Anolis sagrei: one gene and its partners. The protein of the gene in region 2 purifies or fractionates together with the protein of the main gene of each other region. This does not show direct contact. Links are inferred from orthologs where the notes say so. Each region holds a gene or a part of one and is shown on either strand. Other genes may lie near its edges. The genes, in order: PRKACB, PRKAR2A and AKAP8.

The links.
Region 1: the proteins of PRKAR2A (region 2) and PRKACB purify together in Homo sapiens (affinity purification with mass spectrometry; 6 studies listed by BioGRID and IntAct, counting the BioPlex papers as one, with this or other methods). This does not show direct contact. The link is inferred for Anolis sagrei from reciprocal best matches to the Homo sapiens genes PRKAR2A and PRKACB.
Region 3: the proteins of PRKAR2A (region 2) and AKAP8 purify together in Homo sapiens (affinity purification with western blotting; 3 studies listed by BioGRID and IntAct, with this or other methods). This does not show direct contact. The link is inferred for Anolis sagrei from reciprocal best matches to the Homo sapiens genes PRKAR2A and AKAP8.

What each region holds. Positions count from the first base shown.
Region 1 is NC_090024.1:155,445,967-155,457,269, forward strand, and holds the start of PRKACB (cAMP-dependent protein kinase catalytic subunit beta), read right to left. Parts: upstream 4,933-11,303; 5' UTR 4,918-4,932; coding exon 4,731-4,917; intron 1-4,730. UniProt on the Homo sapiens protein: Mediates cAMP-dependent signaling triggered by receptor binding to GPCRs.
Region 2 is NC_090022.1:28,671,388-28,682,182, reverse strand, and holds the start of PRKAR2A (cAMP-dependent protein kinase type II-alpha regulatory subunit), read right to left. Parts: upstream 4,671-10,795; 5' UTR 4,534-4,670; coding exon 4,263-4,533; intron 1-4,262. UniProt on the Homo sapiens protein: Regulatory subunit of the cAMP-dependent protein kinases involved in cAMP signaling in cells. Type II regulatory chains mediate membrane association by binding to anchoring proteins, including the MAP2 kinase.
Region 3 is NC_090022.1:127,270,343-127,281,250, reverse strand, and holds the start of AKAP8 (A-kinase anchor protein 8), read right to left. Parts: upstream 5,385-10,908; 5' UTR 5,308-5,384; coding exon 5,289-5,307; intron 2,005-5,288; coding exon 1,966-2,004; intron 1-1,965. Other genes in the region: AKAP8L (A-kinase anchor protein 8-like), read right to left, coding at 10,380-10,742. UniProt on the Homo sapiens protein: Anchoring protein that mediates the subcellular compartmentation of cAMP-dependent protein kinase (PKA type II).

The DNA of each region.
Region 1 (11,303 bases), on a different chromosome or scaffold from region 2:
CACAAGATGTTTTGCAAAAAGGATATGTCAATTCAGCATAGGATTCTGCAATGTATTTTCTGCCAAACCAGCTGAAAATAGACCCCTTTCTTTCTCTTCTCAAAAAAGATATGACTTTAGTATTTTCTTTTCAAGATGTCCTGTGCTATAATGCATACCAAACTCCAAAAATGTACTCTTCACAGCTTGTATATCAGGCATGGGCAAACTTCAGCTCTCACAGTGTCTTGGACTTCAATTCCCACAATTCCTAACAGCCTAGCAGCTGGTTTGCCCATGCCTGTTGTATATGCTACACACAATTGTAAAGCCTACAGGGGAATAGAAAGTAAATCTCATATAACTCAATGGGACACTCTCCTGGAGTAATACACAGTGTTTCAACTAGCAAATTCTCAGTGAGGTATAAGAGCACTCACAACCCAGCTTTAAATCCAAATTCCAAATGATAAACAAAGCCCTAGAAGTAGCCTTTTTGATTGGACTTGTGGACAATATATCAGAAAAAAAATCATCATTAGAGAATTTGAGTTTGTTTATCCCTTAACATTATGATTTAACAATACACCTAAAACATTTATTTGGGGAAGAACCATTCAAAACTATCAGCATTGATTTGTTAAGATACAGCATCAAGCTCATTCCACAATTGCCACCCCTGAAATACTGCTGGAGATACATTTTCAGACAGACCTTGTTTACCTGAAACTGCAGATGTGATCAAACACCATTAGGTTACCTGACTTCTGAGCTTAGCACACCACAGAGTTGCACTGGAGGACCTAGAGATTTCTAGAAAAGTACCCTGTCTACCAATTTGCTAGGTCCCCAATCCATCACGACATTATGGTAACTTCCAAGAGAAGCATACGATAAAAGTGCACAGTAGGGTAATCAAATTCCTAGAGATACTGGGGTTTTTTTGCAGGTAAGTGAAACCATAGATATTAGTTCCGTGGTTACAGGATTCTTATTATATTATCCAGTGCATATTTTACGTTTCCCAGAAAAGTATGTGTTCTCTGTCCACCTGTGGACTTTTAATGACTGGCAATTGTCTAAATATTAAGTTCTTAATGGTGAAATTTGTAAAGCCTAGACTTAGTTGGCACAATTTCGTTAAAATGATGCAGATTCTGGTATGTGGCTCTTAGTAGCAGATGAAATTACTTTCACAACTGTGGAAGCATGTACACAATTCTACTTCTATCTTCATCCCAGTTTGGGAAAACAAAACCGATAAATGAGTTTTGAATGTACACATATTTCCCATCAGAAACAAGAAAGAATTCTATTTATATTGAACTCCACAGTAGCAAATTTTAAAGTTGAAACAGCATTGCAGAGCTGCAGAAAACAGTAAAATGTATTAAGCCCTTATAAAAACACATTTCAAAGGCATGCTCATTACTGTCTGTTTACATTCCAGCTGAACTCTATCTATAAATTACATTCTTTGGCTAATCTATGGGTAATCACAGTGCACACTGTTAGTTAGAAATGCAATTCAAAAGATCATATCCTCTGTGTTTATTCACTACCTGTTTCCTTGTCGAACAAGTCAGACAGCATGGCTTAAAATAGGGAAGGTCTCTCCACCATTTAAACATAAAATGAACTTCAATTAGCTCAAAAGCTCACAATCTTGTTCACATTCATAATCCTTAAAAGGCTAGCTCTGAAACTAGTGGCAACTCTCTCACTTTCCTTCTCTCACTCCATACCTGCATGTTTATATTCCTGGCAGGAGCCATCAAGGGCACTAATCTTGAACATAAGCACGTTTTACCCAGTCTGTTGGAGTTCTAGGCAGAAGTTAAAAAAAAAAAAAACCCCTGCAAGAATCCAAAATATCTGTGAAATGCTTTCCTCGAATGCTTTTTTTTTCATTTTGAGTGCCCATTTTCCTCTAAAAAAACAACAGGCCACAACATTGACATCATTTAATCCTGGCAGCCCCAGATAAACAGAAATATTTCAGTGGCAAATACATTAAATTAGACACAAGAGCCCAGCCTTCTCCTTTGTGATTTTTAAATTTTGTCCTGAAAAATTTAGAAGATTGTGATTTTTACCCATTTTTACATTATTTTGGTGGATATATATACACCGGGATTTCTCCCAGGAAAACATCTGTAATTTTCTTGTTAAGCTATTTCTCACGAACATCAATTTCTGACAAAGCAATGGAGAAAAGAAGGAAGCATGTAAAATCTCCAGAAATGGCAATAAATTCCAAAATTCCAATGCTGTTGTGTTGGTATGCAGCTAATAAGGTAAGATTAACATGGCCCAATCTTCTGCATCGCCGAAAGAAACAGCTTTTCATTTTCAGACCCCCAAATGCCCCAACCTATTACCAAGTCAATATAGAGTTTATGGTAGGGTATGGCATTGAGTATAGTATTAGTTAAACCTACCTTTATTAGTAATTCTCAAGCAACCAGAAACTATGCTTATCTGGCATTGACCATCCCCATGGATGTTGGATAACTGCAAGTCTACTATATAATCAATTGGTTATTTTAAAATAACATTGACAAATGTGTATATGTAAAAGCATTACCCTTATTGTTCATAACTAATTTTAATGTAAATGTAAACATATTGGGCAGAGGTTTGGTTCCAGGACTCCACATGGACACCAATATTTATAGATGTTCATTTCTTATTATGTACAGTGGCATTGTAAAATGGCAAAATTGGGGTTTGCTTTTGGAAATTTTATTATTTTTAGGAATATTTTTGAGCCACAGTTGGTTGAATCCATGGATACTGAATCCATCGATAAGGAAGGCTGACTAAGTTGTTCCAAACCCAGAACGAAAACCAAACAAACTCTCAATTCTCTGTAACAGAGTTTGACCAAAGCAGAATCTTCTTTATTTTGGTATATAAAATTAAAGCAAAAAAATGAAAGGTATCAATATACCTACATCTATAAATAAATAGGTGTAAGTGTTTACATTCTCAAATCTGTAATGAAAATATTATGGTTGCGTATTGTCAATATTATAGTCAATAATGTTGCTGTATGCCTTCAAGGCATTTCTGACTTGTGGTGACCCTATCAAGGGGGTTTTCTTGGTGAAGTTTGTTCAGGGATGGTTTACATGGACTTCCTTACATGGCCAATTGGGAATTCAGACCCAGGTCTTCCTATAGCCCTGTTCAATGTTCAAACTGCTATGTGAGGCTGGATTATCAATATTGTATAAAGTACTTTCCGTGACACTGTGGTTTAAAATTTGAATATAAAATATTACATTAAGAACCACTTCTGTGAAGAGCTTTCACTGCCTTTCACTCTTTCTCTCCCTCTCTCAAGCTAATTTATATCTCATGATTAGAGTAAAGCTAAAGTGACATTGTACTCCTTTGAGGAATGATATAGTAATTGTAGCAAACTAAATTTAGAACAAAATAATCTGGTAAACAGCAGCACTTTGTTTTGGAAAGTTAATGCATTTTAGTTAGCTTGGAAAACTACTTTTTTAAGAGTAGTCTTTATAATTTCAACGTAATTAGTAACAATTATATGATTAAAAGACAAAAAGTATTCATTGTACTTTTTGAATTTTCAAAAACAACAGCAGAAAATACTTTAAAAATACAAACACACAAATATTTAAAACCTCTGGTCTGTAGTGCAAAACACCATTTTCCCTGGGAGCTTCTTGCTTTCTTAAGAGCCGTAATACAACAAAAGGTAGCTGCAAAAGTACAACATGACCCAGCGTTGAAACTATCTGGCCATTTAGTAGATACAATCTTTTGACTATAAAGTAATGCTGCAAAAGGAGTGATGCTAGTAAGTTGCAAGTGTAGTTTAGCTATAATTCTGTTACTATAATCGGAAACTTGGGACCCTTCCACACAGACAGAATATCAAGGCAGAAAATCCCACAAGATCTGCTTTGAACTGGGTTATCTGAGTCTACACTGCCATATATTCCAGTTCAAAGCAGAAAATGTGAGATTTTATTGAGCTGTGTGGAAGGGGGCTGAGTTACAAATAACTAATTAATTTGAACTACATGCTGCCAAATCCTGCTTTTACTTATATTTTAATGTGTTATTATGAAGCAGTTGTGGTTTTAAAATATCAGCGAATGTAAAAGGAAAACAAATATCCAAACCAGTCAGATGTCATTAAGAGACTTGGTTCAATCTATAGATTTTTTAAAGTGTAATAGCAGAAAATATAACTAAGGTCTTCTAAAAAATTAAAGGTAGATTGGCTGGCTGTATAGAACAAGAGGAAATTTACTGGCTACAACCCTGGTTACCCCATTTTCCACACTGTACCAGTATTGCCCATTTGGGGCCCTAAATGGAAAAAGTGATTTCTATGTGACCTGCTTCAGTACATTTGCCATCCTTGTTGGACTGAATGTCCATTTGTTAGATCATGCTCCCTCCTCTGAAAGTTATAATATAAGGTAAGTGAACAATGAAAGGCCAGGATCGTATTGCTTTAGAAAGACAACTTGAAAGAAATGTGCATTTAAACGTCAAGGTAAAATCATGTAAAAGAATAAATTGACAAAAGGAAGTCTGATCATTAATTTTACTCCACCACCAGCAAGTGTTTCAAGAAACAGAACTACAGACTTGGATCCACCTGCTGATCATTTAACAGGCCAGTTTGGCTGTCAACATTTTTCTATATTTAGTATGCCACAGTTTAAAACTTGCCATTACAAACCAAGTAACCTCCACACACTTACTTGATCTCTCCCACAGTGCAGCGAGTTCAGAGAAGTGCGGAGACTCATTTTCCTGAGCTGCTTTCAGTTCGTTGGAGGAACCCTTGGAGTGCCTGTGAAAAAGCCTGTTGGCAAATCCTTCCAGTCTCTGCAAAGCATTTGCAGTCCCTGTGCTTGGGTTGCCCTGTAACTCCTTCTGAGCAGCCATCTATACACATTTAGTTTGTGTGTTAAAAGAAAGAAATAACTCCAAACTTAAGAATTCAACTTCAAAGCCAAGTGCTGTGCATGTGTCAGACTTCCTGTATGCAGTGCGTTAGCCACAACTGTTGTTCTGCTTCCTGTTAATATAAAACCAACTTCAAGAGCTATTCTCAGGCTCTCGATATCAGCTCAGTGTGGTGACGGGGGGGGGGGGGGGCAACATGACTTGTTTGCGTGCTTTCCCTCTTTCCCAAACAAGCCACATGATGTTGAGAACAAACACACTTGTTAAATTCAAAAAGGGCACTAGAAAACTGATTATGCAGACATCTATATGCATAAACGGATATTATATACCTAAAAGAGTTTGTGTTGAATTTTAACTTTTGGAAAAAGTTATTATCCATATTAAATCATACAATGGGCTTCTGCTACATATAGTGTAAGAAGGAGAAATATATTTTGAACAATCTGGGGAATGAATGGAATGCTTTTATGTCAACTTACTCAAAAGGCTACAAACTGTATAGTATGAAGATTTTATGTAAAATAATCTTTAGACTCCTCCATGTACATCATTCAGATCTGAGAAGCCCATATTTGTGATGATACAATGGACACTTGGTATCCACTGGGTTTGGTTCCAAACCCCATATGGATACCAAAAATTGGGGGTTCTCAAATTCCACTACATACAATGGTATAGTAATGTTTTTAATCCATGGGCGATTAAATCTATGGATGAAGAACCTACGGATACAGAACCTGTAGACACAGAGAGCTAACTGTATACACTTCTGAAGAGCTTATGACTTTCAGCATATTACAAGTCCATTTCAAAAAGTGTTAATGTATGAGCCTGTTTCTCTCCAAATAATTCACTTTATTTCATTACATAATATGTGGTTTCTATTTCCTCCTATTTCTCATATAGCAACAATCAAGATAAAGTACCATAGTTTGCAACTCTCTCTTTACTATAGCACATATTCATATTTCAACTTACAGAATACATGTATTCATCTTTTCAGATGTGATAAATATTGAACAAATAGTAGAATTTTATATAAGTTACTGAAAGAATTTTAGGAGCTTTCTATGTACTCAAAACTGCATAATTTCACTGGGCATACACAGTGAAGATGATATCTGAGCAGACATGTACAAGATTGCACTGTAAGTAAATTTGTTCTAATCTTGTAATTTTGCATGGATTTAGAACCAGCATGGTGTAGTAATTGCACATTAGAGTACAACTCTGGAGACAAGTGTTTGTATTCCTGCTCAGCCATGGAATCCCACTGGTGATCTTGGGCAAGTCACACACTCTCAGTCTCAGAAGGAGGCAAAACAAATCCCCTCTGAATAAATCTTGCCAAGAAAACCCCACCATAAGTTGGAAACAACATAGATTAGACACAACATCATGGCGCACAACAACAGCAACAACAACAACAAATGGTCAATAGTGCAAATACCTAGCATAGTTATCAGCAGAGAACACTAAACAGATATCGCCTAATGAATGCCTGGAGGAGGTAATGGGCTGGATGAGGAAAACACAATTGAAACTGAATCTAGACAAAACAGAGGTGTTTGCAATCAAGGACCTTAATCTGGGGTGGGGGTATGTTAACCAGTTCTGGATGGGGTTACACTCCCCTTGAAAGACTCTGCCCGCAGCTTGAGAGTGCTTCTGAATCAGTGTCTTCAAATATCAGGAGTACTATCAACTTTGTCTGATCCTCCAGCTGCACCCCTTCCTAGATTTGGAGGACCTAAAGATGGTAGTGTATGCGCCGGTAACCTCAAGGTTGGACTTCTGCAATGCGCTTTACATTGGACTACCCTTGTACCAAATTCGGAAACTCCAATTAGTTCACAATACAGCAGCCAGGAACATCCAGGAGTGAGCATATTATACCTATCCTAAAGTCACTCCACTGACTGCCAATTAGTTTCCAGGCAAAGTACAAAGGGTTGTTTTTAATCTTTAAAGCCCAGATTACCTAAAGGATCGCCTTCTTCCGTACAATCCACCCTAAACACTCAGGTCCTCTAAGGGGCGGCTACTCAGCCTGCCAGAACCTGACTGGCGACCATCACCCAGAGGATCCTTTCATCGGCCACCCCACAACTGTGGAACAACCTGCCAGAACAGCTCTGACAGAGAGATTAGCTGTCACAATTTAAAATACACTTGAAGACCTCTCTTCCAGCAGGCTGACCCAACCAGTTTAATTCATAATTTTTAAGCTTGCATGTTATGTTTAATCTTTGTTCTGTATATTTTAATACGTATTTTGTAGAAATATATTTTATATGTGTATTTTGTAGAATGTTTTTAGATGATTGTGTGTTTTAGAAATGTTGTTAGATGAAGTGGAGAGGGACAACTGCTGTTTAAAGAAAAAAAACAAAGTTTTTTTAAAGTGTGTATGCTCCTTAAGGTCTTAGGAGTGTCTAAAGTAGCTCTTTCAATCCCTGCTTATTACTAAAATCAAATAAAACATTAAAAACACAATTAATGCAAAAGAATGCTAAAATCAATTCAGGACTAACCATACCCTGTATCTCGCCAACAGAGCTTTTTAAAGCCATTGAGGAAGTCTTTCTTTAGCAAGAGAGCAATGTAAAGATGAGGCAGCAATGTTTCTATAAATAACAACGCCCAGAGGAAGTTGTTGCTATGGCAGCGCTGGCCACATTTCTATTTTAAATTCAGAAGATATCTGCTGGCATCTGCTGTTCAAAAGGTAAAAATGCAGTATACAAAGTTATCCTATTCAGTATACAAAGTTATCCTCAAAAGTAATTTGTGCTAGAGGAAAGAATTTTTTAAAAAATACAATGTACTAGGCACTTGGGCTGGGATCCAAAATTGGATACAGAATTGGAAGGCATAGTAAGGGATACCAGAGAGTCCTTCAATCCTCAAAGAGAGACATTTTCAGGGGGTGTGAGAGAAGGAAGAAGCAGGAAAGCTTTTTTCCATGAAAGGAACGTTATGTTCAAGGAATGGAAACTGGGGTGTTTTTTTTTCATGATAAAAAATGAAAAATACAGTATGAGTCACAGTGCAATTAACACAGAAACTTCAGCAAAAGGCTCAATGTATATAGAAAAGCAGCAGTCAAACAAAGGTCAGTGCAAACATTTAACCATATCCAGTCCCAGCAAAAACTTTTAACAAGTGCAAGATCTTTCAGCTATGTGCAGATGTAGCTGCACCATAATATTGAATAAAATCCCCTAAAGAGATCTACTACTACCATATTAACCAGTTTTTAGGTTTCCCAAAGTTTCGGGTGCATCAGTGCATCTAGGATTCCAGCAGTATCAACTGATTAAATATCCATCCATCCTTTTAGTTATATCCTGTGTTTCCCCTAGGCGGGGACTCAAGGCAACTTGCAAAAAAGACACACTAAATCCATATAGTTAAAAAAAATCTTAAAACAATACTGAATATTAACATAATTAAAACGAAATGGTCCATAACTCCATAAAAATTGGGGAAAATGTACAAAAACATGCAAAATAAATGTTGGAAAAGTGAAACTCAAGAGAGCACTTTCTACCACATGTGGTGGATGTGTAGCAAAGCAAAAAAATATTGGAAAGAGATTCAAGAAACATCTCAAAAAATCCTAAATATAAAAATAGAAATGAAATTAGAATATATTTCACCAGGAATAATGGACATAAATATAGATGAAAACAAGGATGGACTATTCAACAATTTAACAGCAGCAGCAAGAATAGTCTACGCAAGTTGTTGGAGAATAAAAGAAATACCCTCAGTACAACATTGACTAATAAAAGTGATGGAAATTATGAATATGGATAAATTGATGCAATTATTGTCAAAATACCAAGGAAGTCCAAAGCAAAGAATGGATTAGCAATTGTTTAAAGATTATATGACTCAAGAGAAAAAAAGTTTGAAAATATAAAACAATCTAATGTTTGACAGGAATTTTCCTGGAAAGGATGGAATAAAAAGGAGAAGCAAATTGGGGGGGGGGGGGGGGGAGACTGAGAATAAATATAACCACTACGAAGAAGATCGGAAGTCAATAGACTCTCCACTCCCATCCCCTTTTCCCTGCATCTACCCTTTTCCTTTCTTTCCTTGTTTCCCCCTATATTTCCATTTCCCTTCCTCCCCAGAACCCAACAATACCTTCACCTTACGTACCCCTAACCCATAGTGTTTCTTTTTATTATAGTGTTTAAAATATTACGTAAAATTTATACTGTAACGAAGCGTTAATCCCACCGCTTGTCAACCAAAAATGTAACGAAGCGTTAATCCCACCGCTTGTCAACAAAAATGTAAAGAAGCAGCGCTAATCTCACTAGATGCCACCAAAAATTATGTGAGGAAGCATCAATCTTCTTTAATGCCACCAATATTCTGTGAGGAACCTTCTTTTAAATATCTATTAAGCTGCCACCAATATGTTTAGAGACGCTGGTTTATGTCTCTGTTTATCTTTAGTTGGGTTGTGAGGTGATTTTGGTAGTGTGGAATGCACCAAGCATAACAGCAATGGAGGAGGCAGGTTTGAAATAAAAAGAGAACAAGTTTTATTGTTAACAGAACGTAATTGTTGCAGTTTTGAGAGTTTGAACTTGGCACAAGGCTTGATGTTACAAAATGGCTGGTTTGAGATACTTTCAGGCTTCTGAATGTTACAAATCTACAAACTCCTTCTTTAGTGAAGTGCTTATACTATTCCAGAGTTCCCTATTGTGAATGTCCACACTGTTTGCCCTATACTCGGAACAAACCACTGATCACCAGTCTTTCCTTACTGGCGATCCTTAAAACCCCCTCTGTTAGATTCTTTAACCTAAGCAATCTAACAAGGTAACACCTTCAGCTCTCTTGCTGAAGAAATATTCACAAATTCTAGGAACTACTGAATTCTCACAGCTTCACAACAGAGCCCTAACTGGGTCTCTTTCACCGGACTAAACTATTTTCCCCAGAGTCCTTTCTTGACTCTGCTATTTCCCAGAGCCCTTAACTGGCTCTGCTCTTCTCCGGGTCTCCTCCACCGGACTAGAGCTTAACTGCCACACTCCAACCTTTTTCTCCTTAAGCTCCGCCCACCTCCTCTTCTGCCTTGTCTTGTCACCATGGCAACCTATCCCTCACAGCTAGGCCATGGCAATAAATGTAATACATAAATGCAGTTTAAACACAGTACATTAAACACTCTATAATAAACATTATAAATACAGTTTAAACACATTATAAATAACACTTTATAATGAACACATCTCTACACCTTCCTCCCCAGAAATATTATTTTTGTATATTTCTTAATCCTAGAATAGCAAAAATAATCTCACATATTATTTAACAATATATACATATACATCAATTCTGAAAGGGAAACGCATCATAGTTAGGTACATTTCAACTATACATATATACAAACCTTTAACCTATGGAATTCTAGTATCATCTATGGATGTGGTATCAAAGTCTCACATTTTTATACTTATATATATATTCGTAAATATCTATTGCCTATTGTAAAACATATATACCTACCACACTTTAATATTACACTACCTTACACATACATTAGATTTTAAAAGCTAAATCCTTTTCCATGGAATCAGTATTGATGAAACACCTTCCAATGAAACTAACAGGCTAACACTAAACCTATATCTATATAGCTTACCTGAATAAAACTATCCTTGTCTAAATGTGTTTCTATCCCATTAACATATATAATTGACTTTCTACCTAGTCTGATCAATTTATAAGACATTTATCTATATACCATACCACAACTTTTTTCCATACATATGCTCCCACTTTGTTAATAGCCCACACAATAGTTAAACTCCCACATTTGATCATTGACATGTCTTAGTGTCCAATGTCCCATGGTTCAAACACAACCTCGGTTGTATTGGACCAACTGACCACAGCAATGTCTCTTTATGATGATCTTTTAGCTTCTTTCTTCCACTTCTTCGTTTCTTCTTTTTAGGTTTCTTCTTTTGTCTGACCTTCCAATTATCAGGAACAGTTCTGTTTCCATTGATTTTCAGGGCTTGAACAATGGCTTGCTTCCGTGAAGCATCAGGTTGTAGTGAATAATCTGGAATTCCTCGAGCATCTTTTCTTGGCACTGAAGAGAACTCACTGTCCTTGGAAGAACGAACACGAATATTGTCCTTCTTCATGGCAAGCTCATCACTGCTATCTGGACAAACTTCCAAAGCTAGAAATTGCAGCTTTTTCTTTTTATCATCACCAATATAGTCTGTGTATATTAGTTTTCTTGTCAGTCTATCAGCTTGGCTTTTATTCTCTCTTTCCTCTCCGTTCAAGGATAAAGGAGATCTCTCTTCCGACAC
Region 2 (10,795 bases):
TAAGTAGAGGCTAGGTGATTCTTGTGGCCTCTTCCAACCCTATGATTCTATGACAACATGACATTTTTAGCATGGTTTTTGTGGATTTCCATTTACTTTTTCTAAAACACTGGAGAAAGGCAATTAAATGCTATTGAAAACCAGTTACATAGGTGCCATCTGATAATGGAAGCTAAGTAGGGTCATTCAGCCCTGGTCATTCAACCCTAGTATTTTAGAGTCCATTTCAGAGGCATTAACTCCCAAAGCTACCTCAAAGTGCTCCTTGCTTAAGAAAACCCTATGAAATTTATAGGATCATCATGGGTTTACAAGCAACTTGAAGGTACACAGACATACATACGTAGTAGTTGCATCACAGTCATGTTGTCTGTACACAAATCTGGAAGCCAGTTTGGAAATATGTCTAGCCTCTGCATTTTACTTTGCCAAATAGGTATCCGCTTATTACATTTCCATTCACCAGAAGTGAAAATTAGTGGCTACTTTTGTCAGTCCTAGGGAATATTACTGTCATGTTTATCTGTCAAATTCTATCAGTATCTTTTTATTAAAAGATTACAGAAAGTGTATGGGGAATAAAAGCACAACCTGTACTACATAACAACACAAAGCACAATTCCTGCCAAATCCTCTCATCTTGTACAGATTCTACTGAATCTCTTAAAGGAAAAACGTCCCCTAATGAAAAATGTAAAGGATAGTTCATTCAATACTCATTATAATTCTGTAAGATCGTGATGTTTTTCCTCTGAGTTTAATTAATGTGCATTTTAAACATGCAGCACTGTACCAATCACACCAGGGAATAAACCCTGTATCATTTCATTTCTTCAGTTTGAAAACTGATTATATCCTACTACTTGTAGTCAATAGTTCAACAACACAGAATTCCATTTTTCTTATTCTGGTAGTTTCAAGTAATTTCTCTACCTTGTTCTCTCCTTTAAGCTACCTTCAATTCTGTTTGGAGAAAGGGTAGGTATAAATTAAATAGTATTTCCATTTCTCCCCACTATACAAAGTCATAACTCTTCACTCATACTTCTATACTTCCAAATCAAGAACCAAAGCCATACACAACCTCATCAGTTCAACCATCACCAGTCAACAATTTATCTAAAAATTACTTTCTTTTGTCTTATTATAATTTGAAATGAAGAATACCATGAATCAAACATATCCAAGGTTTGTCAACAGACATGGGAAGTGAACAGTATTCTCCAAGAATTCCTGGTCCACAATCCTGGCTGCCAACTACTGTATATCCTTCTTTACTCTTAAGAATAATCATCAAAAGTATGCTTTAAATTTTGACATAACGAGGTCATGGGAATATCCTGAAGCCTAATCCAAACTTTGTCCTGAAATTGGCTCTTCCATCCTATCTAGTACAGAACTAGAAAGTAAATTCTCTGAGCTTTCAGTCGATTTTTAAGTTCTATGTCTACAGTTGAACTGTAGACATAATCCCATTGGTACCTGCTGGGATTAGATTCCAGCACACTCCTGTAGATAGGAAAATCCACACACGCTCAAGATCCTTTATATAGATTGATACAGAAATATATACTTTAATATTTTAGGCAACGGGTGATGGAATCTGTGGATACAGAGAGGTGATGACAATCTAAGTGATAATTGTATGCTTTCTCTTTGGAAAGTGAGATTTAAATACATAACCCTCCCCCCTTCAGAATATTCTAACAGGACAAGAGAGATGGGAAAAATTAACACAATTGTTCTCTTTCTTTAAAATCTACCCAACACACTGTTATACATTTTCCTAAATGCTCAGAAGTACAATTTGCAAGAAGTTCCATTATTACAAGCCAGAGTAAAATTTATTTATTTATTTATTTACGGCATTTATATGCCGCCCTTCTCACCCCGAAGGGGACTCAGAGCAGCTTACAAGATAGATAGATAGATAGATAGATAGATAGATAGATTCCGACCCGGGGAAGTGAAGAGATTCCCTAACTATTCAACCTTTCTACAAAGAAACTGCTACTTGTGCGTTCCTCTCCAACCTCCCCAATCTCCCTAAAAAGATTCTAACCACATTAGTGCAAACCCTGGGGGAATGAGAGTCTTCTCTACTACATATGAGAGAAATCTATTATATACACACCCATCCAACAGGGATTAGGACAACTATACAACATGCAGGACCCATACCACACATAGGGATTGTTATGTACATTACTGCAGCACTGAGGTTAAGATTCCCCACTCCACAAAAAATAAGTGACAGACAGAGAAAGAGCATGCACGTGGGTGTGGAAATAAAATCCACATAGGACACATAATGAAAGGACTATGGAACAGGGAAGGCATTATTTCCTTGGACAGAATGGTGAGTCAAAAAAATAAAGCTTGTTAGCTGGCTGGAGAAATAAAGGGGACACACACGCACACACAAAGCATCCATATTCACTGCGCTTTTTCTCATCATACAGACAAGGTCACACCTCCTATTCCCTGCGCAAAGAAACCACTCACACAACCGTCTAGAGATCTTGCAGTCATTCCTCAACATTACTTAGTCAGCACATATAATGTGCATATACACCCTCTTTCCACCATATATGTATACACACACACACATATACACACACAGCCCTCTCTAAACATATATACAAACCTCTATATATACACATATACACATCTCTATTTATATACATTCGTACACATACCTTCTCTCTCCCCATATGTATATGTGTGTGTATACACCCATATATATATATATATATATATTACACATGTACACACCCCTCTATTTTATAGTCATACACATACCTCCCTCGCACTTTCTATCTATACATACTATTTCCTTTATAATCACCTCTCTCGATTGATATATATTCTTACACATACCTCTTCTCTCTCTCTCTCTCTCTCTCTCTATATATATATATGTATAAACAGACACCTCTATATATACATATACAGCTTCTTCTTTCTCTATATAATCACACACACTATTCTCTCTATATATAAATTGACACATCCTCACCGACCCACTTTTTAAGCTTCACGTAAATCTATTTGTCAAAATATATGATCTGGTGCTATACACCTCTATAGGTCTCTCTATATAGACACCTCTCTCTCTCTCTCTCTATAAATATATATATATATATATATATATATATACATATACACACACAGATATATAAACACACACCTCTCTCTATATATATGTGCGTGTGTGTGTGTATATATACACACACATCTCCATACATACCTCTTTACATAAATACATTCATACACCTCTCTCTCTATATATATACACATTCATGCACCTCCCTCTCTCTCCCTCTCTCTCTCTATATATATACACTTACACCTCTCTCTCTCTCTCTATATATATATATATACACACATACATCTCTCTACATATTAATAGATCCATACACCTCTCTCTCTCTCTCTCTATATATATATACACATACAGCTCTCTACATATTAATACATCCATACACCTCTCTCTATAAATATATACATGCATACACCTCTCTCTATATATGAATACAACCATATACCTCTCTCTCTATATATACACATACACCTCTTTCTATATTGATACATTCATACACTTCTATCTCTCTCTATATATACGCATACACCTCTCTCTCTATATAAATACATCCATACACCTCTCTCTCTCTCTATATATATATACGCATACACCTCTGTCTCTCTCTATATATATATATATGCATACACCTCTCTTTATATAAGTACACTCCCCCCCCCTCTCTATATATATATATACAGAGACACATACACCTCTCCCTATACATATAGTTTTAGAGAGATACACACTTCCCTCTCTCTACACACACATACAAACATCACCTTTCTTCCACCGTGGAGCTCTGAAGAAGTCTCCCCCAAGCCCACAAACGTGCAGGCCTTTTTTCTTTGAAAGCCACCGGTCTAGAGAAGGCAACCGAGTTCTCGTGGCTTTCCAGAGGCACATTTCCGAGGCGACCCGTTTGGTCCAACAAGGGACTTGAGAAAGGCTGCCTCTCTCCCGCCTCCCTCCCTCCCTCCCTCGCCCGCCTGAGGCAAGACGCAATAATGAGAATGATGATGAGGATAACACCAATAATAATAATAATAAAGAGTGCGCCATGAAATAGCCGCGAGGAGGGGAGGGAGGCAAGCAAGCAAGGAAGCAAGCAAGCGGGGCTATTTTCTATTCTGAGCGCCCTAGGCCGCCCTCCTCCTCCTCCTCCTCTTCCCTGACTCACGCTCAAAGTCCGAGTCCGAGTCTTCGGCTTCCCTGCGCTCTTCCTCGCCGTTGGACTCTGTCTGCATGGGCTCCCCGTCGAAGAGGACGCCTTTGCCCCGGGCGGAGGCCGCTGCCGCCGCCGCTTCCCTCAGCTGCTGGTCTCGGCTGTCCCTCAGGCGGCAGAAGTAGTCCGCGGCGAAGCCCAGCAGGTCCGGCGGCCGGTGCCTCAGCACCTCCACCGTGTAGCCCTGCAGCAGCTCCGTCAACCCCGGCGGAATTTCGATGCTCATCTTGGCGCCGTCGAAGGGAGGCTCCGCGCCCGCTGCTTCTCTCTGCCCTTCCCTCCTCAGACTGAGCCGTTACGGGAGCCGGCACGCGCGCGACGGAGAGAAAGGGACGGAGCGGGGGAGGGGCCAAGCGCGGGCGCGCAACAGCGAGCAAGGTCTGCGCATGCCCAGCAGGAAGCCGCGGCGCGCGCCCAGGCAGGGAGGAGGTGTGTGAGATGGGCGGGGCTACAAGAGGAATAGGGGGCGTGGCCTCCTATGGGGAGAAGCAAAAGGACACTAAGGCATGAGGGCTACATGCGGTGCGCATGCGCAGGAAAAAGTCGGCGCTGCGCTTGGTGGGCGGGGCTAGGGAGGAGGAGTGGGCGTGGCCTAGAAATGGAGAGGTTCCTCAAGCTGTAAAAGGAGGCGTGAGCGCTATGTGACGGGTGTGCTTGCGGTGCGCATGCGTAGGAAGAAGCCGCGGAGACGGTCTGGAGAGGCGTGTGGTGGGCGGGGCTAGAGAGGAGGAGGCGTGGCCTAGACATGGAGAGGCGCGTCAAGCTGCAAAAGGAGGCGTGAGCGCTATAGACGGAGAGTATGCTTGCAGTGCGCATGTGCAGGAGGTAGCCGCGCAAAAGGTCCAGTAAGCTGTGTAGCCCCCAGTGGCGCAGTGGGTTAAACCCCTGTGCCGACAGAAATGAAGACCGACAGGTCGCAGGTTCGAATCCAGGGAGAGGCGAAATGAGCTTCTCCCTCTATCAGCTCCAGCTCCTCATGCGGGGACATGAGAGAAGCCTCCCACAAGGATGATAAAACATCAAATCAGACTTGCAGACTGCCAATTCTCTCACACCAGAAGCGACTTGCAGTTTCTCAAGTCGCTCCTGACAGGACAAAAAAAAAGCTGTGTAGTGGGCGGGGCTATGAATTAATTGGAGGCGTGGCTTCGAAGGGGAGAAGCGAGCACGCTGAGAAAGGACTAAGGCGTGAACGCTATAGACAGCGAGTGTGCTTGTGTTGCGCATGTGCAAGAGGAAGCCGCGAAGATATACAGTGGTGGGCGGGGCTAGGGAGGACTGAAGGATTGTGCGTCACGGGACAAAAGGAGGCGTGAGCGCCACAGAGAGGCAGAAATGTTCTGCGCATGTGCAGAAGGAACCCGCGGAGAGGGGGCGGAGGATTAGAGGTGTGTCTGTGAGCGGGGCTATGCAGAAGTTGTGGGCGGGGCCTCGAGGGAGGTGTGAAATGGTGAGCAGGGGAAAGAATGCGTCACCAGACAAAAGGACTAGGAGGCCAAGTGCGTAGTGCGCATGCGTGGAAGGTTTGACAACTAACTCATGGCTCAATCAATGCTATTGTATTGGAGTGGTTTTACAAGGTGTTTAGCCTTGTCTCTCAAAGAGTGCTGGTGCCTCACAAAACTACAAATCCCGTGATTCTATAACCATACTGCTCGAAAAACTCACAGCAACCAGTGATTCCAGCCATGAAAGCCTTTGGCAACACATTATTATTAGTATTTCTTTGATTCCTTGCTTGAGTTCAGGTTAACTATTCTTATAATATAATATATTTTATATACATATAATATTTATAATATAATGTAATGCATTATAAAACTAATACTAATAATATATTATAATTTTCTTTGTGTGTGTGTGTGTATATATATATATATATATTTGTCGGGTCAGGAGCGACTTGAGAAACTGCAAGTCGCTTCTGGTGTGAGAGAATTGGCCGTCTGCAAGAACGTTGCTAAGAGGATGCCCGAATGTTTTGATTATTTTACCATCCTAGAAGGAGGCTTCTCCCATGTCCCCGCATGAGGAGCTGGAGCTGATAGAGGGAGCTCATCCGTGCTCTCCCCGGATTCAAACCTGCGACCTGTCGGTCTTCAGTCTTGCCGGCACAGGGACTGAAGCCACCAGGGGCTCTGCGCCACCAGGGGCTCCAATTATATATTTATATTACATGTCATATTACTAATAATACTACAATATAATGGTATAGTTGTTGTTGTTCATTCGTTCAGTCGTCTCCGACTCTTCGTGACCTCATGGACCAGCCCACACCAGAGCTCCCTGTCGGCCGTCACCATAGTACAATATAGTATATGGTATAGTACAATATAGTAATATTTAATACTGATATTGTACTATGCTAATAATATAGTGAGTGTGTGTGTGTGTGTGTGTGTGTATGTATATATCTTATAAGTCACCCTAAGTTCCCTTCGGGGTGAGAAGGGTGGCATATAAATGTTGTAAATAAATAAATTAATTAACTGATAATCTACTGTATAGCATTTCTGAATATGTGATTAAGCTTAAAAGAACTTTTCCAAGAAACAGACCAAAGAGCAGACCCTTTGTCAAATTAATGGCATTTGCCTGTAATGTGCAAGCTGGAGGAGCTTTTCCCTGCAAATTTGGACCTTTCGGAAGCTCCTAATTTTCCAGATTTATTTCACAGCTTTAAAATCTGAAATTTTATCTCACAAGAGGAGAATTGCCTATATTTTCAGTGTAGCATTTGACATGAGGATGACACATTGGCACACTTCTGGTTTTTAATCATTAGGTCTCAGAAAACCCTTTGAAATTCATGGAGTCGCTTTAAGCCGACAAGTGACTTGAAAGCATAGTATTCATAAGAATTCATCCCAAATCACTCTTCTTTGTATTCTGTTTTTTCCCTTCCAGACTAGGACTCAACTATTGTGTATTGATGGATGCCTGGTATTCATCTTGAACCAAGCAACCAGAGTGGGTGCAAAATATATATCTGTATATTTAAATCTATTTGAACATTTATATTCTGCAAGTTTTTAAATTGGGTCTTTTTTTAAAAGGTTGTGTGTCATTTAGGATCTTTGTGCCTGAGATGAAATAAATAAATAAATAAATGATGTATAAATAATTATATTTATAATCAGTTCTTAATAATAAAAACCCAATTCAGCACTCAGAGGAAAGATTTTCGAACTGTTTGTCATGACACATTCGTGTATTTGTTGCAGTGAGTAGATGTGTCACACAAACATTTGAGTTATGTGAAATAAGCCATAAATAAATATAACTAAATATAATGAAATGTTTTCATGAGATACGTTGTGTGCTGGTACAGTTGTACCAGGAGCTCCAATTCTGTTTGCTTTGCATTAAATGTTTGTTTGCAATCCCAGGCTTGGGATTTTGCAGCAGGGTGGCTTCCTGTTATCGTTTGCAATCATAGGGCAAACCACCTGTCAATTATCGTTAGGTTCCCTGGTCCCGCCCCTTTTTGAGTTTTGGAGGGAATAGGAGCCTTTTTGAGTTCAGTCCACACAGAGCAGCTTTCCATGCAGGACATAATACCAAGAGCTCCTGTAGAAAGCTTCGTCTTCTACGGCTTGGCCGGGGAGATATACAGCCTACAGCCTGACTGGAGTTATACAGCCTTGCAGCTCCTTCGCTGGGGGACTTCAGTCAGCCATCACGGAAGCCTGAATCCTTTCCCCCTGGAAGTCTACAAAGCTCTGCTTGGTAAGGGTTGCTCGCAGAAGCCAGACGCAGTTGGTACCGGGTGCAGGGGCTCCACACCAACAGAGGCAAGTACAAACTGCCCAGATTAGAAGTTAAGGATTTCCCCATTAGTTAGTATACAGTTATGAAGATAGTGCCTGTTCCCAGTGAACAAGATTGCAAGAGCCAATAGACTGTTAAGAAAGCTTGAATGTACCTGTTTGTTTTCATCAATAAAGAACTTTGTTGGACTTACTTTAAGCCTCTACAGAACTTTGTTTTGGGGAGGTCCAAGGGCCTTTAATCTGAGGCGTCCCCGACGTCCCGTTGGGCACACAGAATTTATGTCCTGTCTACAGTCATATGCACAGGCCCAGCGTGCGACAGCACACGTATCCCCATAGATTTCGTTATTACAATTCATGTATGTATCTCTTATAAGGGGTTGGTTGAACCTCCATTTTGCTAGTCTACCTGAATTACTGTGTTGCGAAATTGCATGTGCCTGAATGGTATGAGTAGATCAATAGGTACCACTCTGGTAGGAAGGTAACGGCACTCCAGGCAGTCATGCCAGCAACATGATCTTGGAGGTGTTTATGGACAACACCGGCTCTTCAGCTTAGAAATTGAGATGAGCACCAACTCCGAGAGTCGGACATGACTGGACCTAATGTCAGGGGGAAACCATTACCTTTACCTTTACCTTAAAAGGTGTGCCACCAACATAAAACGTTTTTAAAGCTCAGGTTTAGAGGATACTAATGGTACGCATATTGTTGGAAATAGCGACCTTCTACATGCCTCCTATAATAGTTATTTGTTATGTATATAATTCAGATTGCTTACTGTACTGTATAGGTGTGTTGGTATGCAGTTTTCCTTAACTCTTTGTTATGGGAGGGGCTGCAGACCACATGATTAGATCTGGGATTGTTCAGACTCAAGACTCCATTTTTAGAAGTCTGTATGCTTGCATCAGAAGGAACACAGTACAGTTTAGAAGTCAGTAGAAACAGAATGTTTTAGAGCAGGAGTCCTCAAACTAAGGCCCAAGGGCCAGATACGGCCCTCCAAGGTCATTTACCCAGCCCTCACTCAAGGTCAACCTAAGTCTGAAATGACTTGAAAGCACACAACAACAATCGTATCTCATCAGCCAAAAGCAGGCCCACACTTCCCATTGAAATACTAATAAGTTTATATTTGTTAAAATTGTTCTTCATTTTAATTATTGTATTGTTTTAGGTGTTTTTTGCACTACAAATAAGATATGTGCAGTGTGCATAGGAATTCATTCATTTTTTTTCAAATTATAATCCGGCTTTGAGGGACTGTGACCTGGCCCTCTGTTTAAAAAGTTTGAGGACCCCTGCTCTAAATTGATGATGTAGGTCAGGGGTCCTCAAACGTCCCTGAAACTGTTGAAGGGCCAGATTATAATTTGAAAAAAACATGAACGAATTCTTATGTACTCTGCACATATCTTATTTGTAGTTCAAAAAACACTTTAAAACAATACAATAATTAAAATGAAGAACAATATTAACAAATATAAACTTATTAGTATTTCAATGGGAAGCGTGGGCCTGCTTTTGGCTGATGAGATAGGGTTGTTGTTGTTGTTGTGTGTTTTCAAGTCGTTTCAGACTTAGGTTGACCCTGAGTGAGGGCCGGATAAATGACCTTGGAGGGCCGTATCCAGCCCTCGGTCCTTAGTTTGAGGACCCCTGATATAGGTGAATAGGAAATGTTTCCTTATTGTATTATTCTACTCTTCCTCCAGTTAACCAGTGGCTGTATACATTGCTTCCTCATGTTTTATCATTGCAACTATGCTGAAATATTGTTTAAAAACTCTTGCTGAGTTATCCAGTGAGCTTTCTCATTTTGAATAGAAATTGGACTCCTTTCTCCTGATCCTAGTCTGACTAGATAGGGATGCATCTACACCAGGCATGGGCAAACTCCAGATGTTTTGGATTTCAATTCCTACTGCCGAAACTGCTTTTAATTACTGCACTACAATATTAATATCACGTCACTGTAGAGTTGATGGTATGGTATAGTATGCGGTATAGTTAGGCCTTTTTTAATAGTAACTTTCAAGCAAGCAGAAACTACATTAATCCAGCATCTGACAATCCCCATAGGAGAGTCTATAAACAAGTACTGTTTCCCTAAGAGAGAGGAAGAAACTACAGAACGAAGTCTGAGCCATTCTTAATATCTTCCTGAGAACCTTTGAAACAGGGTTATGAATCTTATTAGCCCACAAATTATTTTTACTAGGTCATTTGCCCACACAGAACTATGCCACTCATTTGCAGCATATGAAACAATACAGCTAATAAAAGCATCACAGCGGGGGATGCCGAGACGATTCTGGCTCACTGCCGACTCCAGCTGCCACATCAAAGCAATCCCAAAATCTGAAATTCAAGAGGCTGAGCTTGACGATGTCATGAAGGAAGAACTGTGATGTCATGAAGTTGCAGACAGTATTTTTCTCTCTCCTTTTACCATTTACCTTTTAAGGAAGATGGGATCCCAAAATACTGTTTCTAAATACAGTAGAGTTATCTGGCACCCATGAGGATTGGTAATGTAGTTTCCGGTTGCTTGAGGGTTACTATTAAAAATAGTCCTAAGTAATGCTATGCATCATATTATGCCATAAACTCTGTATTGAATTGATATTAATATTGACATACATTAAAAGAAAATAAAGACAAACTTCACTCAAACTTCGATTTCTGCGAAATTGATTTTATTTATTT
Region 3 (10,908 bases), about 99 Mb from region 2:
ATAAACACAGGATTTCAAAAAAACCCCATAGAAAAAACATCACAAGGGGCCAAATCTGGAGGGGGGCGGCCATCGATACTCTTGAAGTGTGTGCAGTTGCACCGTCTTGTTGGAACCAAAGGTCCCTAAGTCCAACCAATCTAACTGTGGGGAAAAACATTCCTGTAACATGTTTACATACCGATCCGAATTCACTGACACTGCGACTTCATTTTCCTAAAAGAACCAGGGACCAATAATTCCAGCTGAGGAAATTGCACACCACACTGTGATTTTAGGTGAATGCAAAGGCCTTGGATGCAATTCCCGAGGATTGTTGTCAGCCCAGTAGCGCATGTTTTGTTTGTTGACAGATCCACACAAATGAAAATGGGCTTCATCACTAAAAAAAACAATAGCGTCCTCAGGAACAACTTTGAGAAGAACCTCACACGCGTTCCTCCAAGAATTGAAGTCACGTTCAGAAAGTTCCTGCACAATCACCATCTTGTAAGGATGGGAAATAAAGATCATCATGAAGAATTCTCCTCACAGAACGATCGGAAAGTCCAAGGGCAGACGCATGTTTGCGCGCAGAACGCCATGGTGATCGCAACATTGAAGCTCTCACTGCCTCAATGTTCTCAGGTGATCTAATGGGCCGAGGGACTCCAGTTCTTCATTTTGTCGCATTTGCAGTTTGTCTGAATGTAGTGACCCATGTCACAATTGATTTCCGGTCCGGGACAGGGGCCAATGGGGCTAAATTAAAGCGATTCCGAAAGGCACGCTGGGTTGCGATCACAGAACATCCGCTCGAAAAGTAGGCTTCAACGGCAAAAGCACGCTCCTCACTGTTCCAATGCATGATGGCGACTGAACTGTGTCAAGACAAAACTTTATACTCCAGCCTCTCGAACGAGACCACTAACGCTCCACTACGTTTTCAACCGACTGAATGGTGCACATTTTAAAAAAGGAAGTTATGCTGCCGCACCCTGTAGTATCCCATTCAAGTACTAATTAGAGCTGACGCTGCTTAGCTTCCAAAAGCAGATGGAACCTGGTTCCATGCAGGTATTTAGGTCCAGATATTAAATAGAAAAGGTAAAGGTTTCCCTTGACATTAAATCTAGTCGTGCCCAACACTGGGGTGTGGTGCTCATCTCCATTTCTAAGCTGAAAAGCCGGCATTGTACATAGACACCTCCTAGATCATGTGGCCAGCGTGACTGCATGGAAAGTTGTTACCTTTCTACAGAAGCAGTTCCTATTCATCTATTCACATTTGCATGTTTTTGAATTGCTAGGTTGGCAGAAGCTGGGGCTAACGGCAGGAGCTCACCCCACTCCCCAGATTCAAACTGCCAACCTTTTGGTCAGCAAGTTCAGCACCTCAGTGGTTTAACCCATTGCACCACCAGGGGGCGCATAAATACAGCTCTAAATCCCACTGTCAGTTCCACCAAGTTGTCCCACTGATTCAACTACTAGATATTAAGTTGAATATTTTTACACAGCCCAATAAAAAACACTTTCTTGGTGTCTTGGGCACGGATTCAGAAAACTGCACTGGATATACTGCAACAGCTCTAATTTCTTAGATATAATTTATCATGGTTTTCCATAGGCAAGTAGATGATGACTGGCATGTTTTGTATCTCAAAATATTGAGCTGATAAGGGGGAAACTGCTACCATTTATGGAATCAGCAGATCAAGTATTTCCAGAAACATACCTAACATTTGATACAAAAAAATATATGCTGGGCAGTATAATGAGTCTACCAAGGTCTAGTGATTGGATTTAGGGCCAAGAGTTCAAAAGAAAAAAAATGAAATCAAGTACAGTTCAAAAGGTAAGAATGAATATCAGTTCACTCTTCTAAAAATGTTATTTGTGATTGAGTTTAACATTGGCATTTTTATGGTCAACACTATTAGTCATTATTTTTCTTTTTTCTATCTATGAAGGTCAATGACATACCTTGAGTATTTGAGGTATCAGTACCCCAGGAGCCATAACCTGTAAGGCAAATATTTAATGGGTCATTCATACAAGTAAAAATTCCACTGCTCACTTTGTTTGGGACTTCTATATCACTGTTTTATTGCTTTTCTTAATACAAGGCCTTTACGTTACAGCCCCTGTAACTAAACCTATAGCATATAATATTTTAAGCCATTTAAATAAAGAGTAACGAACTCGATGCCTTCCAAATATTTTGGCTTACAACTCTAAACAGTCTGACCCAACATAGCCAAAGCTACTGAATGCACTACTGAAGTTTGGAGGGGCTAAAGAAAGAACAAGACTCACAAAACCCAACTGCAAGGAAACCACTGAAAAAAAAACCAGCAAAAAACTCGTCTACTTTTTCAAGGCATTTTTTGGAGGAAGGTATTCCAAATTTTCTGGCTCTTATAAACAAATTCAGTTTCGAATGTCTAACTTCTGAATGTTGAAACTACATTATTTTACACAATTCTGTTTTACAACTATCCCATGAGTGACTCATTAGCGCAATCCTATGCATCTTACTTTATTTCTAAAAATAAGTCTTAGTAAGGGTAGAGTAATTAATACATTTTCCAAAAAAAAAAAAAAAATCATTCAAGGTTTCCCCTCATTCTTCTACCAAATGAAAATTTATCACTTATGTACCTGTAAAAATTGCTATTCATACTTTGTATTTAAAGGTAATAAATAGAAAGTGTGATGTGTAATGTGACTATAGGCAGTCTTCGACTTACGAACATCCAACCTACAATCAACTGATAGTGAAAAATGGGGGTGAGATAACAGGAAGTGAGAGAAATCTACCCATAGGAAGGGAAATTCACAACTGAAAGAATTGAAAGGTGTCTCCACTAAAGCTTTATCACTAATCCTTGTTTCCACAATAAGCCCAATTTTCACAGGGACAGAAACGGAGGGGAATTCTTCTGAACAGTAATTTTAACCAACTCTAATGTTGCTTGGCCACACCTATCCCGGTTTTCTTCTGTGAAATGTTGGTGGGTGTGAACTTGCTGAGAAGAGATATTACTGTCAAATTCTCCCTTGCTGGTATATCCCACACCACAAGTTGTAGAGTTGCCCAATGAGTTGCCCAATGACATATATCCCCACCCCAAGTCCTAGTAGCACCTTAGCATAACTAATCGTCGCTGCACACCGCACTTTTATCCTACGTGCCTCCTGCCATTTCAGCACTTTTACCCCTTGTACCCCAGTGCGCCGGCCGAACCAGTTTTTAATAATGTCTTGATGTACTGCCATTGTCGTTATTTTGCTTATTGTTTTGATTTGCTTTGCTATTGTTGTGTTATGTTCTCTATTGTATTGTGTTTTGAGGCTTCGGCCTGTGTAAGCCGCATCGAGTCCTTCGGGAGATGCTAGCGGGGTACAAATAAAGTTAATAATAATAATAATAATAATAATAATAATAATAATACAACAGTTCAACATGCAAATGCCCCCAGACTGTTATCATTTGCATGCCAAGGAACACTTTATTTGCCATAGGGATTGGCATGTTAGTAACCCATGGCAACCCCTTGAATTTTATAGGGTTTTCTTAGGCAAGGAATACTCAAAGGTGGTTTTGCCAGTTCTTTCCTCCGAAAGACAGCCTACAGCATCTGGTATGTGTTGGCAGACTCCTATCCAAATATAATGAAGCAATCCTTATCTGGAATTCTAACATATTCTAAACCTGCACATATGGTGGCTGAAGTAGTGACATCTTTGCCTACTAATAGTTCAATTACAAATACTGTTTCATATACAGAATTGTTAAAACGGTTGTGTATAATATTAACTTCAGGTTGTTATGTAAGGTGTGTATGAAATATACATGGATTTAGTATTTACTTTTGTTTCTCACCTCTAAGATATTTCATTAGGTACATGTATGCAAATATAAATATTTTAAATCTGAATCCCAAACACTTCTGGGGCACACCTATGCTGCAGAATGAATGCACCTTGACAACACTTGAACTGCCATGGCTCAGTGCTACGGAATCATGGGAATTGTAGTTTGGTGCGGCATTAGCACCCTTTGGCAGAGAAAGCTAAAGGGTTGTGACATTCTTGAGTTATGCTCCATCTTATTTATTATGCCTTGTTTTGTTTTTGGTTATTTAAATTGTTTTACTTGTTATGTGCTTTATTATTATTATTGATGTTATTGGGTTGTTGTAGATTTTTTTCGGGCTATAGGCCATGTTCTAGAGGCATTCTCTCCTGACGTTTCGCCTGCATCTATGTCAAGCATCCTCAGAGGTTCTTGGGGGTTTTTTTTGGCAGTCTGCAAGGACGTTGCCCAGGGGACACCTGGATGTCCCTGTATGGTAAGCTGGAGCTGATAGAGGGAGCTCACCCGTGCTCTCCCCAGATTCGAACCTGTGACCTGTTGGTCTTCAGTCCTGCCAGCACATGGGTTTAACCCACTGCGCCACCGGGGGCTCCATCCTCAGAGGTAATGAGACCTCACTACCTATGAGGATGCTTGCCATAGATGCAGGCGAAACGTCAGGAGATAATGCCTGTAGAACATGGCATATAGCCCACAAAAAACCTACAACAACCCAGTGATCCCAGCCTTCGACAATGCACTGATGTTATTGTTTTGTTATGAGTCGCCCCGAGTTCCTTTTGGGAGATGGGGCGGGATATAAATAAAGCTTCATCCATTCATTCGTGAAACTACAACTACCATACATTGAGCTGCGACAGCCAGTGGTATCAAGTTGCATTAGTTCTACTGTGTGTAGTTGCAAACCTGATCCCAGATATTTCGGGAAAATGACCTGTACTAACTAGGGCCGCTTAGTTTCCAAGACCAGACAAGATCTGGTGCCTTTGGGGAGTTTAGGCCAGATGCCTGTCACAAAAATGACGCTGGCGACCTTGCAGTTAACATTTCGCTCGAAGGGGAGGTTTGAGGAACTGGCCAAAAGAGACAAGACCCAGGACCCGGTTCTCAAAGCCAACCTACAGAAAAAGCGCCCTGACGCAGAGAATAATCCGCCTCCGCGCCATTTTGTGCCGCTTTCGCTCACAGACCTCAGGCCCCGCCTCCCTCGCAGACCACAATCCGCGCGCCAAGCAGCTCTCCAGTCACAAAGCGAGACTTGGTGAGAGACAACCTCGGGGCCCAATCAACGCCGCTCGCTGCTTAACGGCCAACGGGGAATGCGGCGAGGCCCAGGCTGGGCGCACAACTGTGGGGGACGCTTCCCGGAGGCGCAGGGCTTCCTGACCCCAGGCTTGTCCCTCCTGCCCGACCGGGCCCCACTCACCGTAGCCGCCCTGCTCCATGGCTTCCGCGCCGCCGGCCTGCCACAGCGAAGACCTAACCTGTACCCTGACGGCGCGAGCGCCACAGGCCGGCGGGGATTGGCTACTGCAGGAGGGGCCGGTGGATTTCGATTGGCCGGAATGTCAGAGTCCCACCCAATGAGGATCCCACGAGTGACTTCCCCCTCCCACATTGCTTGTTGCTTCCCCCTCCCACAAGGCCAGCTGTCAAGAGGCGCCTCTCTCAACACCAGTGGGCCTTAAACCAAGAGAGTGAAACTGAAAGTAAAAAGGAATCAAAATCCTAATGACGGAACGAAACAGCATTCAGAGGGCCCTTCCAGACAGGCCCTATATCCCAGGATCTGATCCCAGATTTCTATTTATCCCAGATTAACTGGCAGTGGGGACTCATATAATCCAGTTTAAAGCAGAAAACCTGGGATCAGATCCTGGGATATAGGGCCTGTCTGGAAGGGTCCAGAGTTGGTTTCTGCCTTTTAACAATTCATAATAACCAGAATATTGCCAAACCTGTGCGCCCACTCTCTCAAAACAGCCCCTTCTGTTACTGAAATTACTCCCAAGGGGCACAGGACTGGTAATTCTATCTGTTCTGGCCCAACTTACATGTCCGAACACATCTCCCCTTATGAGCCATCTAGGACCTTAAGATCATCTGAGGAGGCCCTGTTCTCATTACCGCCTTCTTCAGAAGTATGTTTGGTGGAGACGAGACAGGGCCTTCTCGGTAGTGGCCCCTCAGCTGTGGAACATCCTCCCTATAGATATTAGATTGGCCACTTCCCTTTTAACATTCCGGAAAAAAGTCAAGACGTGGCTTTTTGAACAAGCGTTTCCAAATGCAGAGTAACTGACATAGGAAAAAGCAATGGTAAAAGTCTTCGCTGAAACCATTAGGAACTGCATGCAGCCCCAGGGTACAGTTTGCCCTCCCAGGCAGAGGATGGTTAGTTGCATCTGTATAGAAACTGCAGCCCTTCCCTACAAAGATAAGACTGGGATAACATAAGGCAGGGATAGAGACTGCATGAGGGAGCAGTCTAGAGATCCTTTATAAACCATGTTCATTTCTCGTGGACAGATTATAGTTGAAAGAGAGAGAGGACTAAACTAAAGTACAAGGATGCAGAAGCTGGTTGTCCCCAAATTAAAGTACTTATACACAAAGTTGAACTCAGACATCCTATATAGTTGGAAGTGTGTTCATACGTTTTTCATGGAACCTAATTCCTATTAGATGTGTTATAGTCAAATACAGCTTTTTTGTGCAGTTTAGCAAGCAATGAATTAATACGACACTACTGCTCAGTAAAATCAATGACTGCTTTTCAAACTAATGGAAACTTTATAAATTTTGAGTCACATGAAAGCTCAAATTATAACAAATTCCCTAGGTTTTTCTGAATCACTGCCAGGCAATCACATCTTGATCCAGCCTCATTTTATATAGACAGAGAACTAACTCATGACAAATGACAATGAGTTTAAAAGGCGACGTACAAAATTAACATTCTGATACAGCAATACAGTTAATAACATTTAAGCAGGAAACTAATCTGTACAATATCCGAAGCATAAGAAACAGAGGCATGTACATTATCTGCTTATCATGAACAACACTAAAGAGTTGTTGCAGTGATAGAAGCTAAATCTGTCAAATTTTTACAATAGCTTTCTCTGTTGTGAGTAAACAGAGCTCTATGCTTTAGACAGGGAAATGACTCTTATTCATAACAGACGGATGTGATGTTATGCCATAGATCTTAATGCCATAAATCTTAGTCTGGTTGCTCCTAGGATTTAGTTCCCAGCCTGTATTCTGAAGGGACAGTTCCACCTTCCCCCATTTAATATGTAAGAATGAAAACCGAAACCAGAATGTGATGAGTGACTTGCATTATGATGGGCATATCTACATTGGATTTATCATCATTACAGTAATACCATTTTAATCAGAGCTAGGTAGAAGACCTTTCTCTCAGACATCCTGTTCCAAAAAAAACTTCCTCTTGAGAAATTATTGTAGATCCAGAATTGCTGTTATATTTATTCCCTCTTCCACAGAGATATCCTTTCTTCTGCTCATACATCTGTACCCAAAAAATCTGAGTAGCAGAAATGTTTGCAATATCCTGGGCCTTTAGTAAAATCAATTATTTTAACACAACTCACTCAGTCTTCTATCTATTAGCCTTAAATTAAGTGCAATTGGCCATCCACATTCCCAAGTTTGACTTTTGCAGATTTAATTAAAATAGTCTCTCTAGGAATCTGATGGAAGTTGATCATAGAGTCATACTAGATAACCAATGGGTTCCTAGATTTTTTTGCTCAGAGGAAAAATGATGTTTTTAAATTAATGTTTTTTCCACCTTTAAGGGGATCCTATCCCCCTAACCTCTGTAAATGTGGAAGGCCCAATATAATAGCATAGGAGTCTCTAATTAAAAATATTAAGAGACCCATGATTAGAATCTTGAGTGGTTTTTGATTAACAAAATTATTTTTATTAGCAGGTATTGTAACTAACTTTGTCTAGCCGTTTCCGACTCGGAGGGTTGGTGCTCATCTCCATTTCTAAGCCAAAGAGCTGACATTGTCCGTAGACACATCCAAGGTCATGTGGCCGGCATGACTCCATGGAGCGCCATTACCTTCCTACTGGAGCGGTACCTATTGATCTACTCACATTTGCATGTTTTCTAACTGCTAGGTGGGCAGAAGCTGGGGCTAATAGCGGGAGCACACTCTGTTACCCGGATTCGAACCACCAACCTTTTGGTCAGCAAATTCAGCAGCTCAGCAGTTTAACCCGCTGCAGCACCAGAAGAAATGTTATGATTCCTTAGCAAAAATTGTCGTCCCCCCCCCCCCCCAATCACCCAATAAGTAAGAACTTTTGAAGTCCCCAGGGTATCAGTTGAAAAATTCAGCACTAAACTAAGTCATATATTTGTTAAGTACATTGAGAAATAAATGTACGTACCTGATGTTACTATATAATGCAGAAAAGTTTCATCTCATTCTTGTAGAGAAACAAATAGCCTCATCCTGTGCATGTTTACTAAAAATGTAATGAGTTATCTATTACTCAAAAATCTCAATAAAGTTGTACCTTAATATTGCGTTGTCTTTCAAAAAAAATATGCAGGATTAGGCTTCATGATGGAAGTTGCAGGCCATCAGACTGGAGAACAGAGGCTGCCTACCTTGACTTTGGTCCTAGCAACCTCTGTCATTGTTAGTCATTGCAACAGAACCTACACAACCTACACAAAAGCCTACCAAATGTTCTTTTCTTAAACAGTAAGCATTTTTCAAGATGCTTGTTACTGGTAATTTTGTATTTGCAATTTATTTTCAAAAACATCTCACATTTCAGGATAGGTCAGGGCTACTCCAGTAGTTACACATTTTGAAGGAAAAGCTTTATTCTTCAATATTTCTATTCCTGTAGATGCCAGTACATTTCACATTTGACTCACAATATCTTCTTCCATATGTCTTTCACTGGCATATAGTAGCTCTAGAACAAGGCTTCTTAAACCTTTTTCACTCACAACCCCTTTTGATCCAAGAATTTTTACGTGATCCCAGGTATATAGATATGCAAAACAGGTATAAAAAAACAAACATTTACTGATAATAAATCAGCATCTGCAAGGGTTGATTTTCCTTTTAATGAAGTGCACCTGAAACATTTTTGTGGCATCCACGGCAAACATTGCACAATAGGTTTGTGTAAATGAATATATTTTTTTACTGTAACCAATTTTATGGGATCCCCAACGTGGAGCTAAGATGATTCCATTTGGGGTCAGGACCCACAGTTTAAGAAGCAGTGATCTAGAGCTGAAGGCAGCAGAGTGCTTGGTGGTACCAAATCTTTTGCCCCACTTACAACAGTTCCTTCATTTATCACTGCCTTGTCTGATGTAGCAGTTGAGCATAAAAACATGTCCATGATATTCTTCCGGTTGATTTCTACTGCAAGAAAAATGCATGTACACACACATACACACAAAAGCACAGGATAATACATTGAGAATGAATGAAGCAGTGACAGTTGTACGACTATTCCTTTGTGAGCAGTTTTACAGAGGTTGGTGAAATTAAAAGAAATCTATGGCATTATTGCCAGTTTCCTCCCCGTAGCACAGTGAAGCAGTATCGCACTGTTCAAGAATGAACTGTGGAAGGTTTTACAATGAGACAACTGTGAAGCACTGCATTGAAGGGAATATTTAATGTTTCTTTAACACTCTTCATTGATAGGTTCCATATGGCCTACTGTAGCCTTCCTTTACACAACAGCAATCTAAGCCAAGTAGTGTCAATGATGTCCTTTAAACATTGTCTGGACAAAACTCAAAAGAAGTAATACCAAACTGCTTTTTAAGAAGGTGCCAGGATACATTTCCCCCTCTCTCAGACTTCCTGAACATCTATTACATGCTGCTTCTTTCAGAAATCCACACATATAGGTAGTATAGTGCTTTATCTCCACTCCTTGGAAATATTCACCTTAAATAAAAGCACTGCAAAACTATTGTGCTGATCTCCAAAGTATTAAGAGTTGTATATTAAAAGAAAAAGGACAAATGAATGCTACAGTTCCATGGAAGTTACTTGAATTGCAAGAAATTTAAAACTCAGAACTCTGCTACTGACATTTCCAGACAAGGCTACCTAGGGAACAAAACCATTTTCAACTATATACAGAATTAAAGAGAGGCCCAGAGGATGTTTATCTTCCCAGGTTGTAATATGGTACAGGCGAATAAACAGAATTTGGTTTTGATTATTTACTAAAAAAAAAAAAAAGTATTTATCCTAGTACAAAGCCACTTAAAAATTGTACTGCACAAAGTCTATCTAATACAATGAAGATTTGGTTAAAAAAGCTATCTCCAAAAACACTTTATAGATAAAGGCTTTCAAGTGCTGTAACTAGGTGAAATGTAGTTAATGGGAACCAAAAGCTGCGTGCCATGAAGTGTCACAAATACAGTTATGGTTTTAAAATTTTTAATGCAGAGTCTCAAAATGCTTTTATTTTCTTCACAAGTTCATTCATCAGGTGGTTCCATCTCTTCTGATGGAATGATTCCTCTTCTTTCTTCCTCTTCTTCTTCTTCCTCATTATCATCATCATGCTCTTGCTCCTTTGCAAGGGCTTCCTGGGATGTTTTCAAGTTCGACTCTTCCATTTGTCCTGACGGTTCTCCTCCTTCACCTTCACCATCTTTATTTTCTGCATTGCCTTCTTCTGCTGGATTTTCCTCAGTCAGACTGTCACCGCCTTTAGCTTCCTCTTCTGTCTTGTTTTCTTCACCTTCAGCAGCTCCTTCCTCCATGACCCCACTTGTTCTTGCCTCACTTTCCTCATGCTCCTCTTTTTCTTCAGGGTCATCTGTAAAAGGATTCTCACCCTGAAAACAAAAACAGAGCCATGTAGAACTCACTGTTCATTTATTTTTATTTACCAATATTTATTTTTGCCAACTGTGGAAAGAAGTGTGCACTAATACTAATAGAGAGCTGGATAAAAAAATGAAATGATGTAATGGAACAAGCACATGAAAACAACAGTGCAAC